3 linked regions of the Danio rerio genome follow. The protein of the gene in region 1 interacts with the protein of each later gene in a biochemical or structural test. Links are inferred from orthologs where the notes say so. Each region holds a gene or a part of one and is shown in the gene's direction. Other genes may lie near its edges.

Region 1 (4,225 bases):
AATTTCCTTGCTCTGTTAAACATTATTTGGGAAATATAAAAAAAAAAAAAAAATCAAATGGGGGCTAATAATTCTGACTTAACTAACTGTACATATATTTATTATATATTTGCTATTGTGTATATATTTGTAAATTTTGTTGAAATGTGTACATCAATAAAAAGCTATATATTTTTAAGCAAATTAAGCTTATAACCAAAAGACTATTACACAGTAAACAAACAAACATGTTTTTATATTAATTTAACACAAAATGCGTTAATCAATCACGTTTTAACATTTCAATTATCTGAGATTCAAATTGATGTTTTATGTCAGTTGTCTTTCTTGTAACATAAGTTTAAATGACTTGTAAATTTAAAATCAAACCAAAAGTGCTCAGGCGTAGCTTAAATAATGTGTCGGTGATCTTTGGGTAAGGGATTCATCAGAAGAAACTGCAAAAGTCACTCCAAAGCACTTGAAAAATGTGAAAAAAAATTATAAAAAATGGTTTTAAAATATTTTTTTTCACTTTTTTCAAGCACTTATTTTTACAACTTGAAAATTTTATTTGATTCAACAAGTCAGCATCTAATTCTTTAAAGTGACTAGTAAGATGTCAAACACACAATTTGTTCTTAATTGTCCATCTGTGTTATTATATTACTATCATTGTTCATATTACTATACTGCCTGTTTATTATAAAGCACATATTAATGTCTTATTCCAGTCTTATTTAGATCCCTTGTTAAAAAAAAAAAAAAAAAAAAAAGAAGTGGTTACAGAATATTCACTTTCAAAAATGTTGGGTTCCACACAATTCCTTCATGTTGTCTCAACACAAATCGGTCAAGCTAACTTGAAAGTTTGTACAAATTTATCTGGATTGAACATAAAACAATTAAGTTGTTTCACAAAAAAATCCTTAAGAATTGTGTCGTTTCAACCCATTTCAAATAAGTAGTTTAAACAAACAGCAAAAGTCCTTTTCTAAATGTTTCGTTGAGTTGAATTAACCTTACAAGCCAACTTGCATTGCATTAAATTGATGTAAAGCAGCTCTTATGACTTAAAAAATAAGTCGAAACATGCTTAACTTATTTTAGTGAGTTACACATAACAACATAAAATAAAAATTAAAAGTTGTAATAAAAAGTTTATTTTCTTACAGTGTACGCATGTTAAGACAACCTTTCATATCATGAATAAGTGACAATCAGGCGGTTATTGAAGGGGAAAACTCTTATTGGTGAACACATGTAATATTAAGATTTTTTTTTTTTTGTGAAGGGGCTGTACTTCCCCTATTTGTCAAAACAATCATTAACAGGAAGTCTATGGGGAAGTGGATGTCATTCTTTCTTTTCATACTCAGCTCAGGCAAATCCGGGGTGTTGGGTTTTTTCGTGTTTTCAGAAAATGTCGGTTGAATTTTGAGTAATTTCTTTAATTTCTGGATCGGCAACTGGGTGATTCTGTCATTATTTGGCTTTCTTTGGTTTGTTTTTTTAGAGCTGACACGTTTGTCTCCTCGTGTTCGGTGTCAGACGAAGTGTGAACTCAATCTGAGAGTGGTTGCTTTTTTTTTTTTTTGGATGCTTGTAGGCATTTAGGATTTTATATTCATCAGTGAAAAACAATGAGTTTTGGAAGTTTGCCGTCCAAAGCCGAGGTTCTGAACTGGGATTCACATAGCTTGGCAGACTTTTTGAAGAAGGTACTGTAGGTTACTTTCTCTTTTTGTGTCTTTCAATTGTGTAACTTTAGAATTAAATTGTACAATGAAATGGGTTGAAATGTAAAAATATTGTTGTGTAATCGGTTGTTGTTTAATAGATGTTCAGTTCAGATATTCTGTCATAGATGTTTAGCTTGTATCGACTTGGTCAGCACATACAGCATGCTTTTAAAGATATTTACCACATTTATTCATTATTTTTTGGATGTTGGATTTATACACACACGATAAGTATATAGATTCAATAAAATGGAATTCAGTAAATGTATGTCTTTTTATAGGCATTCACTAAATGTAGATGATCTATAAATACTGTATTCAGTAAATATATAGGGCCTTTTAGAGACATTCAGTAAATATTTGGTCTTTTAGAGACATTTAGTAAATATATAGGGTCTTTTATATATATATATATATATATATATATATATATATATATATATATATATATATATATATATATATATATATATATATATATATATGTAAATATATTGGCCCTTTTATAGACATCCAGTATATAAATATATATATGGTCTTTTAAAGACATTTAGTAAATATTAATGGTCTTATATATATTCAATAAATATATAGGGCTTTTTAGAGACATTCAGTAAATATAGATGGTCTTATAGATATATTCAGTAAATATGATCTCATATATATATAAGCAAAATCACACGAGTAGTGTGCTATGGCTGTACATCAGCACTGGTGGGAGGCGTGCGTTGGCACAAGGCCGCAGGCCGAGTGCCTTAGCGCCCCACCAGTGCTGATATACAGCCATAGCACATTACTCGTGTGATTTTGCGTTTATAGCACAGTTCGACGACAAAATCTTGTACATAAAAACGAAAATCAAACACAAGAGTCTAAAACCCTTTTGTATTAGTAACTATTTTCTTCCGCCATTCATTCACATCTGCAGCTGATGTCAGAACAGCAGAAGCCATTACTAATTCACCAACGTCACTTTAGAGCTAGCATTTGATTGATTCTCTATAGCGTAATGGGAAGCAGCGCTTCTGGTGTGTGACCCCACTTAAGGTGATGACAAAACAGCAAATTTTGCTCACATTTTAAGATTATAAGGCTAAACGTGACATGAAATGTCATCAGTCTACAGAGATTTCTCACCAGACTGCTGTTGTGTTTGCGATAAGGAGGAACAAGGCTGAATCCAGCTTCTTATTCGCAGCTTCTTATTAACTCTATCCGGTCCATCTTAAAAACCATAAGGCTTCAGTTTTTCAGCTTTTTATATGCGCTCAAGAGAACACACTGAGAAAGGGCTTATTATGCGGTTCTGGCGCCATCTTGTAGATAGACAACGTCAACCGTCTTTGGCTGCTGACGAGGTCTCAAAAATTGTAAATATTTTAAAATAGGCACTATTATTACAAATAAACTGCATAGTTGCAATCTAAACAACTACATTCTCGACTAAAAAAGCCTCAAAAGTACATATTGTTGTCTAACAACAGTAATATTTGTCAAACTGTAGCCTGCTTGTTGCTTGCTGTAAGGGCGGAGTAATACACAGAGGTGAAGGGTGAAGAGGCCTCTGTGTGATGTTACTGGCAAAATATCGCATGGATATTAGCCAAACAGATTCAAGAACCAGACAGAACTGTTGTTTAAATGAATATATACTAATGAATACATACACATACAGTAAATGTATAGGGCCTTTTATAAACATTCAGTAAAAATAGAAAATATTCTTTCCTCTGGAGAAAGTCTCATTTGTTTTATTTCAGCTAGAATAAAAGCAGTTTTTATTTGTTTATGAACCATTTTAAGGTCAATATTATTAGCCCCTTTAAGCTATATATATTTTTAATAGTCTACTGAACAAACCATTGTTATACAATAACTTGCTTTAATTACCCTAACCTGCCTAGTTAACCTAATTAACCAAGTTAAACCTTTAAAAGTCCCTTTAAGCTGTATAGAAGTATCTTGAAGAATATCTAAATATTGTGTACTGTCATCATGGCAGAGATAAAATAAATCAGTTTTAAGAAACAAGTTATTAAAACTATTATTAGAAATGTGTTGAGAAAGTCTTCTCTCCATTAAAAAGAAATTGGGGAAAAAATAAACACAGAGGCTAATAGTTCAGGGGGGCTAATAATTCTGACTTCAACTGTATATTCAGTAAATATTTAGGGCATTTTAGAGACATTTAATACATATACATTGTCTTTTTTTAGACAGGTCTTTTAAACCTTCTTTAGATAATCTTTTATTGGAATTCAATACATACATATGTTTTTTTTTTATTGGTCATGATGACCTTTAATAGACAATTGGTAAATATAGACTTTCTTTCTAATAGATATCCAGTACATATATTTTGATTACTTATTTTTATTTTTTATATTTTTAGTAGATATTTTTTTATATACATTTACAGATGTTAAGCACATTTGGGCATATTTATGTGACATTTAGCACATAGACTCTTAAAATGCAGTTCTTATTCAACCCAAATATGGACA
Region 2 (3,655 bases), on another chromosome or scaffold:
TTCCAGAGCTCATCCGCTACCACCAACACAATCCGGCAGGTAAACTCTATATGAAGAGATGCTTTTATATTGCGTGCTAATAACATTTATTATTTGATTTTTATTATCTGATAGTTTGTTAGAGGCATTATAATAAATAACTGTCATAAAGATATGACAGTTAAACCACAAGAAGAAAAGTCGATTTGAGTCTTCTCTTTCCTTGTGCCTTGTTTCCTTGTTTTTGTGAAAGGTTTGATCACCAGACTGAGGCACTGTGTGTCTAGAAATGTCCCAAACTCTGCAAGGATCAAGGAGTTATCATCAGGTAAACTCGGCTGTGTTTTTTTTTTCAATTTCACAGCACAGTACACATACAGAACTTTATTATTATTATTATTATTAAAGAATCCTGAAACATTTCACAGTTTTCAGCTTTGATGTTTTAATTCAGCTCGACATTTTATTTTAAATAAATGTATTTTAAATTTAAATAATAAATAACTGCAAGTTATATAAAATATTTGTAAAAACTTTTAAAATGTTGCCGTTTTTTTGACATCATACGTCTTTTAAAAGCATTAAAACAGTTTTCCCAAATTATTTGTTACAGAATTTGTTAAATGAAATTTAATGAAATTAGAGTGATAATACAGAATGCTTGTTGTTTTTTATTTAGTATAATTCAAATTAAGATATATTACATAAAATATGTTTACATAGTTCACTAGACAAATATTTTACAAAATTATTCAAATAGCCCCCCTCCAAAAGTTTACATATCCTTCCGTTTAAATACTCTGTGATTTCCTGATGATCTATGAGTGCTTTGTGATGGTTGTTCACGAGTCTCTTGTTTGTTCTGAACAGTTAAACTGACTGCTGATCTTCAGATTTCCTGCAGATTCTTTAGTTTTGCAGCATCCAATGTATGATTGTGAGATTTATCTTTTCACTCGGAGGATGATTGAGGGACTCAATGTTTAAAAAAAAAGGTTTACACCACCTGACAAAAGTCTTGTTGGCTATCCTATACTATAAGTTTTAGGAGCAACAAATGATAAACTGACTTCTAGTTGGTCATTTGGTATCAGAAGTGGCTTATATAAAAGAAAAAGGCCTCTAGATTTCGCTTATTTTGCCCAAATAAATCATCATGTCTTGATTTTTAATTATTTAATTAGGACAGTAAGGTCTGACTTTGCTGAGACAAAAGTCTTGTCACTTAACAGAAATAATGTACACTATAAAATATAAAGTCCTGGTGCAGTGGAAAAAGAGTTAATATTGTGCTTGACACCCATAAGCTTGAGCGACTGCATCCATACATCACTGCAATGACACAAATAACTTATTAATAAAGTCATTTGGAATGGCAAAGAAAGTGTTCTTGCAGGACTCCTGCTGTTCATCAAGATTCATTGGATTAATCTTCAATGCCTCCTCCATCTTACCCCAGACATACTCAATAATGTTCATGTCTGGTGACTAAGCTGGCCAATCATGGAGCACCTTGACCTGCTTTCAGGAACTTTGATGTGGAATGAAACTTGACTGATTTCTGTGAGAAGTTTGAGTCCATGTGGGTTCCAATAGGTCTTCTGTTGTATTTCTGATGATTAGGATGCAGGTCAACAGATGATTCATCAGAAAAATCTACCTTCTAACACTTGCCAAATGATCAACTAGATGTCAAGTTATTATTTGTTGCTTTTACAACTGATATCAACGACAAGACTTTTTGTCAGGTAGTGTAAATGCTTACTGATGGAGAAGGAAACAGGAGGCATTAAGAGCTGAGGATTGAAAACCTTTAAACAGGACGAAGATCCAAATATTTCTTATTTTGACTCATTTTTTTCCATTTAGTACTGCCATTTAGTTGGAAAATAGCAGAAACGACTTATATTCATCCTGGAACACAATTTAAATTGATCTTCAGATTCTAAAAGTTTTCACTCCTTTGCTCTTAATGCCTTGTTTTTCCTTCTGAAGCATCAGTAACTTTTTTAACAGTAGTGTTTGAGTCTCTCAATCATCCACTGAGAGAAAAAATGGGTCTCACAATCACACAGCTACTGCCGGAAAGAGTTCAATCTGCTGAAGATGCTGAAAAACTCAAGAATCTGAGGGAGATGGAGAATTTACTGAAGAGCAGCAGTCAGTTTAACTGTTCAAAACAACCAAGTGATTCATAAACAACTATCACAAAGGCATATTTATCATATTATTTATCATATTATCAGGCATATTTAAAACAAAACTATTAAAAAGATCACATTGTTGTCAAAAATATTAATTATAAATCTAAATATTAAGTCACAGTCCCTCTTACAACTACTCATTTGTCTGCAAATACAATTTTGTATGATCACCTATTGTTTTATTAATGTACAAGCTAGTTTGTTTCCTTTTTTGTTACAGATAAGTGGGAGATTCACCCTGATGAAGTGAAATTAAGTGTGGAACTGGGCAGTGGGCAGTTTGGCTTGGTGTGGAAGGGAAGTTGGCAAGACATGGAGGTGGCAGTTAAGACGGTTCGTGAGGGATTTATGTCAGAGGAGGAATTCAAAGAAGAAGCACAAGTTATGATGTAAGCAACTGCAGTTTATGTACACCTCAAAAAATGAGGAATAAAAAATGTGAATTTATTGCTCACTCATTGTCTTTCTCCACAGGAAACTATCCCACAATAGGCTGGTGCAGTTGTATGGTGTGGTCACTCAGCGTTCACCCATATACCTGGTATTCGAATTCATGGAAAACGGTTGCCTTACGGAGTTCTTGCGGGCTAAAAAAGGCAAACTTTCCCAAAAGGCTCTGCTGGAGATGTGTTTGGACGTAAGTGAAGGAATGGCCTACCTTGAAAGCTCTAACTTCATCCACAGGGACTTGGTAAGTAGGCTATAAACAGGGAGTTTGGTTAGTCAGTTTCTTGCAAACATTTGTGCAGTTGTTCTTACATTCTTCTGTTTAATAGGCTGCGAGAAACTGTTTGGTTTCTGAAAATAGTGTGGTGAAGATAGCAGATTTTGGAATGACAAGGTGAGTAGCAGTGCGTGAAAATGACCGAGATCAATTTTTAGTTCAGTTAAATAATTATTTCAACCAATTTTTTTGCAAAGTTAAACAGTCAACTCTTTAATTGAATTATATAGCAACATCTCTACATTGTAAAAAAAAAAATTAAGTTGAGTTCTACACAATTCATTTATGTTGTCCAAACACAAATCAAATAAATTTACTTGTAACACTTCACAATAACAGTACAGAAATAATGATATTTTAATATGTAAACTAAGCATTACTTTATTATGAACTAATGATTAATTAATGTGTGCACTGATTATGAACTAACTTTAACTACAACATGAGCACATGAGTTCATGTGTGAATAACAGCTTCCTTAATTACTTGTTTGTACATGATTGTTTATTAATGTACTGTATTAATTACCACATTAGTTTATGCTTAACTCAACCATCAAGAATTCTTTATATGTTAATTTATAATTATGACTTTACTTGGAGTGGCACATCATCATTAACCCATTCTTAACTACTCATGAACTCCTTATGCACGTCTGTCAAGTGCGTTTACACTGAGTAACAATAGAAAAGGGTTCTGTTAACATCAATGTGAACAGTTTAAACACAGGAGTATTTTATGAGTATTT
Region 3 (4,147 bases), on another chromosome or scaffold:
ACAAAAATATGTATTTATTTAATAAATATATAATATTTATTAAAATATAATAATAATATTTATTATTGTTGTTGTTATTATATTATTATGTCATATTAAAAAATATTATACCATATTATTTCTATAAAAAGCACTTTAATTTACTCTAATATTAATATTTTACAAGCATACAGTAATTTAAAGTGACACCAAATGTTCATTTTGGCAGGTTGTTTATATGTCGACGGTCAATAAGATGATGTGACTCACTCGGTGTGGCCCTGGAAGACATTGACTGAGTGGATGGAGGGATCTCTGAAGTCCCACAGGCGGAAGGTGGTGTCTCTGGATGAAGTGACCACCAGACGCTGAGTCGGATGAGTGCAGCAGTGGGTCAACTCCTGATCGTGACCTGCAAACACACACAAACAGGTAATGGTGAGGGTTAGAGCTGGGGTAGAGGTTGATACAATACAACTGAGTTGTAGTTGAGGGTTTAACAAATAATAAACAAGGCAACTTTATTTATATTGCACATTTCACACACAATGGTAATTCAAAGTGGTTTACATGAACAAGAATAAAAGAAACGAGTATAAGAAATAAAAAACAACAAATATTAAAAACTGGTGGCTCAGTGGTCGCCTCACAGCAAGATCACTGGTTTGAGTCCCGGCTGGGTCAGTTAGAATTTCTGTGTGAAGTTTGCATGTTCTCCCCATGTTGGCATGGGTTTCCTCTGGGTGCTCCGGTTTCCCCCACAGTTCAAACACATACGCTATAGGGGAATTGGTGAACTAAAATGTGTGTATGAGTGTGTATGGGTGTTACAGCTGGAAGGACATACACTGTGTAAAACATATGCTGGAATAGTTGGTGGTTCATTCCACTGTGGCGACCCCTGATAAATAAGGGACTAAGCCAAAGAAAAATGAATGAATGAATTAAAATATCCATAATAACTCTCCTTAAACACATTAGTAAATGTTGATTTATTTCTCCTCATGTTCACCTGTCAGGGTGTGCACCAGCTCCGAGGTCTCCACATCGTACAGGTTTGCGGCTCTGTCCCAGGACGCAGTGACCACCTGCTTTCCTCCCACCAGCCAATCAGCGGCGATCACCACGCCTTGGTGGCTCTTCAAGGTGGTTGTGGCCACGCGGATGGTGGGGCATTCATTGGGTCCATCAGCGTCGCCGTCTGCCTCGTCTTTATCAGAGAAATCCACGTCATCGTCCAGCGAGGCCTGAGTCGCACAGGAAATGACAAGAGCAAATGTTTGAGGTAATTTGATTTCATTACCATTTCAGCATCTCCAGCTGTTATTATGACCAGAAAAACTGATCAAATTGACAAACATTTCATAAAAAATAAAACACTTTTCTATAATTAAAGGGTTTACAGTGCACAGGATAAATGAGTACACCCTTTACAGATCTCGCTTTTACATTCATATTATTTTCTATAGGATGCTTCACAATATTATACATATGGTTCTGTGGGTGGGTGAAGCAGTGGCGCAGTAGGTAGTGCTGTCGCCTCACAGCAAGAAGGTCGCTGGTTCCAGCCTCGGCTCAGTAGGCGTTTCTGTGTGGAGTTTGCATGTTCTGCCTGCGTTCGTGTGGGTTTCCTCCGGGTGCTCCGGTTTCCCCCACAGTCCAAAGATATGTGGTACAGGTGAATTGGGTAGGCTAAATTTTCCGTAGTGTATGAGTGTGTGTGGATGTTTCCCAGGAATGGGTTGCGGCTGGAAGGGCATCCACTGCGTAAAAACTTGCTGGATAAGTTGGCGGTTCATTCCGCTGTGGCGACCCCGGATTTATAAAGGGACTAAGCCGACAAGAAAATGAATGAATGGTTCTGTGGGTCTCGTCTATCAAATCTGAGATTCTGTATTGGATTTAGGTCAGATGATTGGCTGGGCCATTCTACAGCTTGATTTTCTTTCTCTGAAAGCATTTGAAAGTCTACTTGGTTATGGATCATTGTTTTGCTGAAATGTCCACCCTGGTTTCATCTCCATCATCCTGCTAATGTAGATGTTGGACTGAAGCAGCTGATATTCATTTACACTGAGGAAAAGCAGAGGGTTACTGAAGAACTACTGAGAGATTTCAGCTGCTGTCTGGGCTTTCCATGCATTTCCACACCTCCCTTCATGTGTTCAATACTTTTTACCTGTTTCGTTTTATTACACAGAACATTTTAGTATTACTAAATTGTATATTTATTATTACTAATATTACACTTACTGTTAACTAATTAGTTTGTGTGTACTGCGTTTGTGTGTACTGTATGCATTTGTGTACGCATCTGTCTGCCTTTGTGTGTATGTTTGTCTGTACACGTGTGTCATATGCGTCTAAGTGTATCTGTCTGCGTCTGCATGCGCGTGTGTGTACGCATGTCTCTGTGGGTGTTTGTGTGTGCGTGTGTGTTTAATACTCACGCTGATGTCTGCTGGAGGCTGTGGAAGTGGCAGTTGTACCATGTAACGCCAGATGTGAGCCGTCTGGTCCCCGGACGCTGTCAGGAACAGACAAAACAAACACAGAGGCAACATTAGCAAAAAGAAAAAAGCACAGCCATTGATCAAATCACATTTAAAAGCATCTGGGAAATACAAATCTATATGAAAGAGAGAAACATCTCAGTCTTAATGCAGTACAGCCCTCAGTCATGAAATAACTCCTCATTAGCAGCATCATGAGAGATCAGCAGACAATCACACACAGTTGAAGGCAATATTAAAAGCTCTCTTGTGAAATTGTAATATGTTTTTAAATCTATCCCGAGCACCGTTCAACACAGCAAAGGCATTTTCACAATATTTTTATAACATTTGTTATTATTATTTATTCATTTATTTCACTTCGGCTTAGTCCCTTTATTCATTAGGGGTCGCCACAGTGGAATGAACCGCCAACTTATCCAGCATGTTTTACACAGCTGATGCCTTTTCAGCCGCAACCCAGTACTGGGAAACACCCATACACTCGCATTCACACTCGTACACTACGGCCGACTAGATTTCTTGCGGTGCGGAGATAAATTTCCGAAAGAAGCGCAGGAGCGGTCGGTAACTGGTTTAATTTTGTACAGAAGCTCGCGGTCTAACAATATCACTCCTGACTCCTGAGCGAGCAAGCACGCGTATGTATGTATGTGTGTGAATGAGACAGCCTGATGCTGCGCTTAGCTTGTTTCTTGCTGTGTGTGTGTGTGTGTGTGTGTGTGTGTGTGTGTGTGTGTGTGTGTATATGAAAGAGAGAGCTTTGTGCTGTGTGTGTGTTTATGCGTGAATGCGTGAATGAGAGAAAGAGCGTGATGCTGTCTGTGTGTGTGTCACTTGCTTGGTGCTTGTGTGTGTGTTATAGTTTGTTATAGGCTGTCTGGACTCTGTATAGCTGGGGGGTTTTCGCTTTTGTTCTCCCCCTCGTCCGTTAGCGAAAATGGGCGCAACGGGTAGAAAACGGGGCGGGTTGGGCAGAGGGACAACAAATGCTAAATATAAGCGGGAGCGGTCGGGTTAGGGCTAAAACCTGGCGGGAGCGGGATTCAAAATTTAGTGCTGCGCAGATCTCTAGTTTGGACTGTGGGGAACACCAGAGCACCTGAAGAACACGGGGAGAACATGCAAACTCCACGCAGAAATGGCAACTGAGCTTGGATTTAAACCAGCGAAATTATAGAAATTAAGTTGCATTTATTTTTAAAAATATTTTAAAAATCTTAATTTAAAATTCAGACAATTGAGATTTTTCTGAATTAAAAATCCGACATTTTTATTTCATTAGATTTAAGCATATTCTTCTCCTTCAATTTTAACCATTTACAGATAGACAGACGAATATTACTGATCTGTGATATAAATGAAATAGGCGTTCTTTACAATCCAGTTGCTGGATTATATATTCTATACTGTGGAAATTGTTATTGTCAATTGATCATTTTAATAAAAATACATATTGATTCGTTTTTCACCAACATATATTAATAAACAAGACACAGAAATATAAGACATTGTGTAAAAAAAAGCAAACCATTAAAAAGTTTTTGTGTATACCTGTAAGCGCCATCTGCTCTGTGGGATGGAACTTAATGGAGTTCACTGCAAAAACAGACCGTAAACATTCACTGTACACAACAATCACCAATCCTACAGCT

Evidence for each region.
Region 2: the proteins of lcp2a (region 1) and itk form a complex in vitro, tested with the Homo sapiens proteins (2 studies listed by BioGRID, with this or other methods). The link is inferred for Danio rerio from reciprocal best matches to the Homo sapiens genes LCP2 and ITK.
Region 3: the proteins of lcp2a (region 1) and nck1b form a complex in vitro, tested with the Homo sapiens proteins (2 studies listed by BioGRID and IntAct, with this or other methods). The link is inferred for Danio rerio from reciprocal best matches to the Homo sapiens genes LCP2 and NCK1.

Annotation. Positions count from the first base shown.
Region 1 is NC_133196.1:32,961,820-32,966,044, forward strand, and holds the start of lcp2a (lymphocyte cytosolic protein 2a), read left to right. Parts: upstream 1-1,337; 5' UTR 1,338-1,622; coding exon 1,623-1,700; intron 1,701-4,225. UniProt on the Homo sapiens protein: Adapter protein primarily involved in signaling pathways within T-cells, as well as other immune cells such as platelets, mast cells, and natural killer (NK) cells.
Region 2 is NC_133189.1:38,626,390-38,630,044, reverse strand, and holds part of itk (tyrosine-protein kinase ITK/TSK), read left to right. Parts: coding exon 1-39; intron 40-232; coding exon 233-307; intron 308-2,403; coding exon 2,404-2,572; intron 2,573-2,657; coding exon 2,658-2,874; intron 2,875-2,959; coding exon 2,960-3,024; intron 3,025-3,655. UniProt on the Homo sapiens protein: Tyrosine kinase that plays an essential role in regulation of the adaptive immune response. Regulates the development, function and differentiation of conventional T-cells and nonconventional NKT-cells.
Region 3 is NC_133199.1:3,692,733-3,696,879, reverse strand, and holds the start of nck1b (SH2/SH3 adapter protein Nck1), read left to right. Parts: upstream 1-1,226; 5' UTR 1,227-1,264; intron 1,265-2,429; coding exon of another isoform or gene 2,430-2,506; intron 2,507-4,046; coding exon of another isoform or gene 4,047-4,091; intron 4,092-4,147. Other genes in the region: wdr37 (WD repeat-containing protein 37), read right to left, coding at 250-391, 992-1,226, 2,430-2,506, 4,047-4,091. UniProt on the Homo sapiens protein: Adapter protein which associates with tyrosine-phosphorylated growth factor receptors, such as KDR and PDGFRB, or their cellular substrates. Maintains low levels of EIF2S1 phosphorylation by promoting its dephosphorylation by PP1.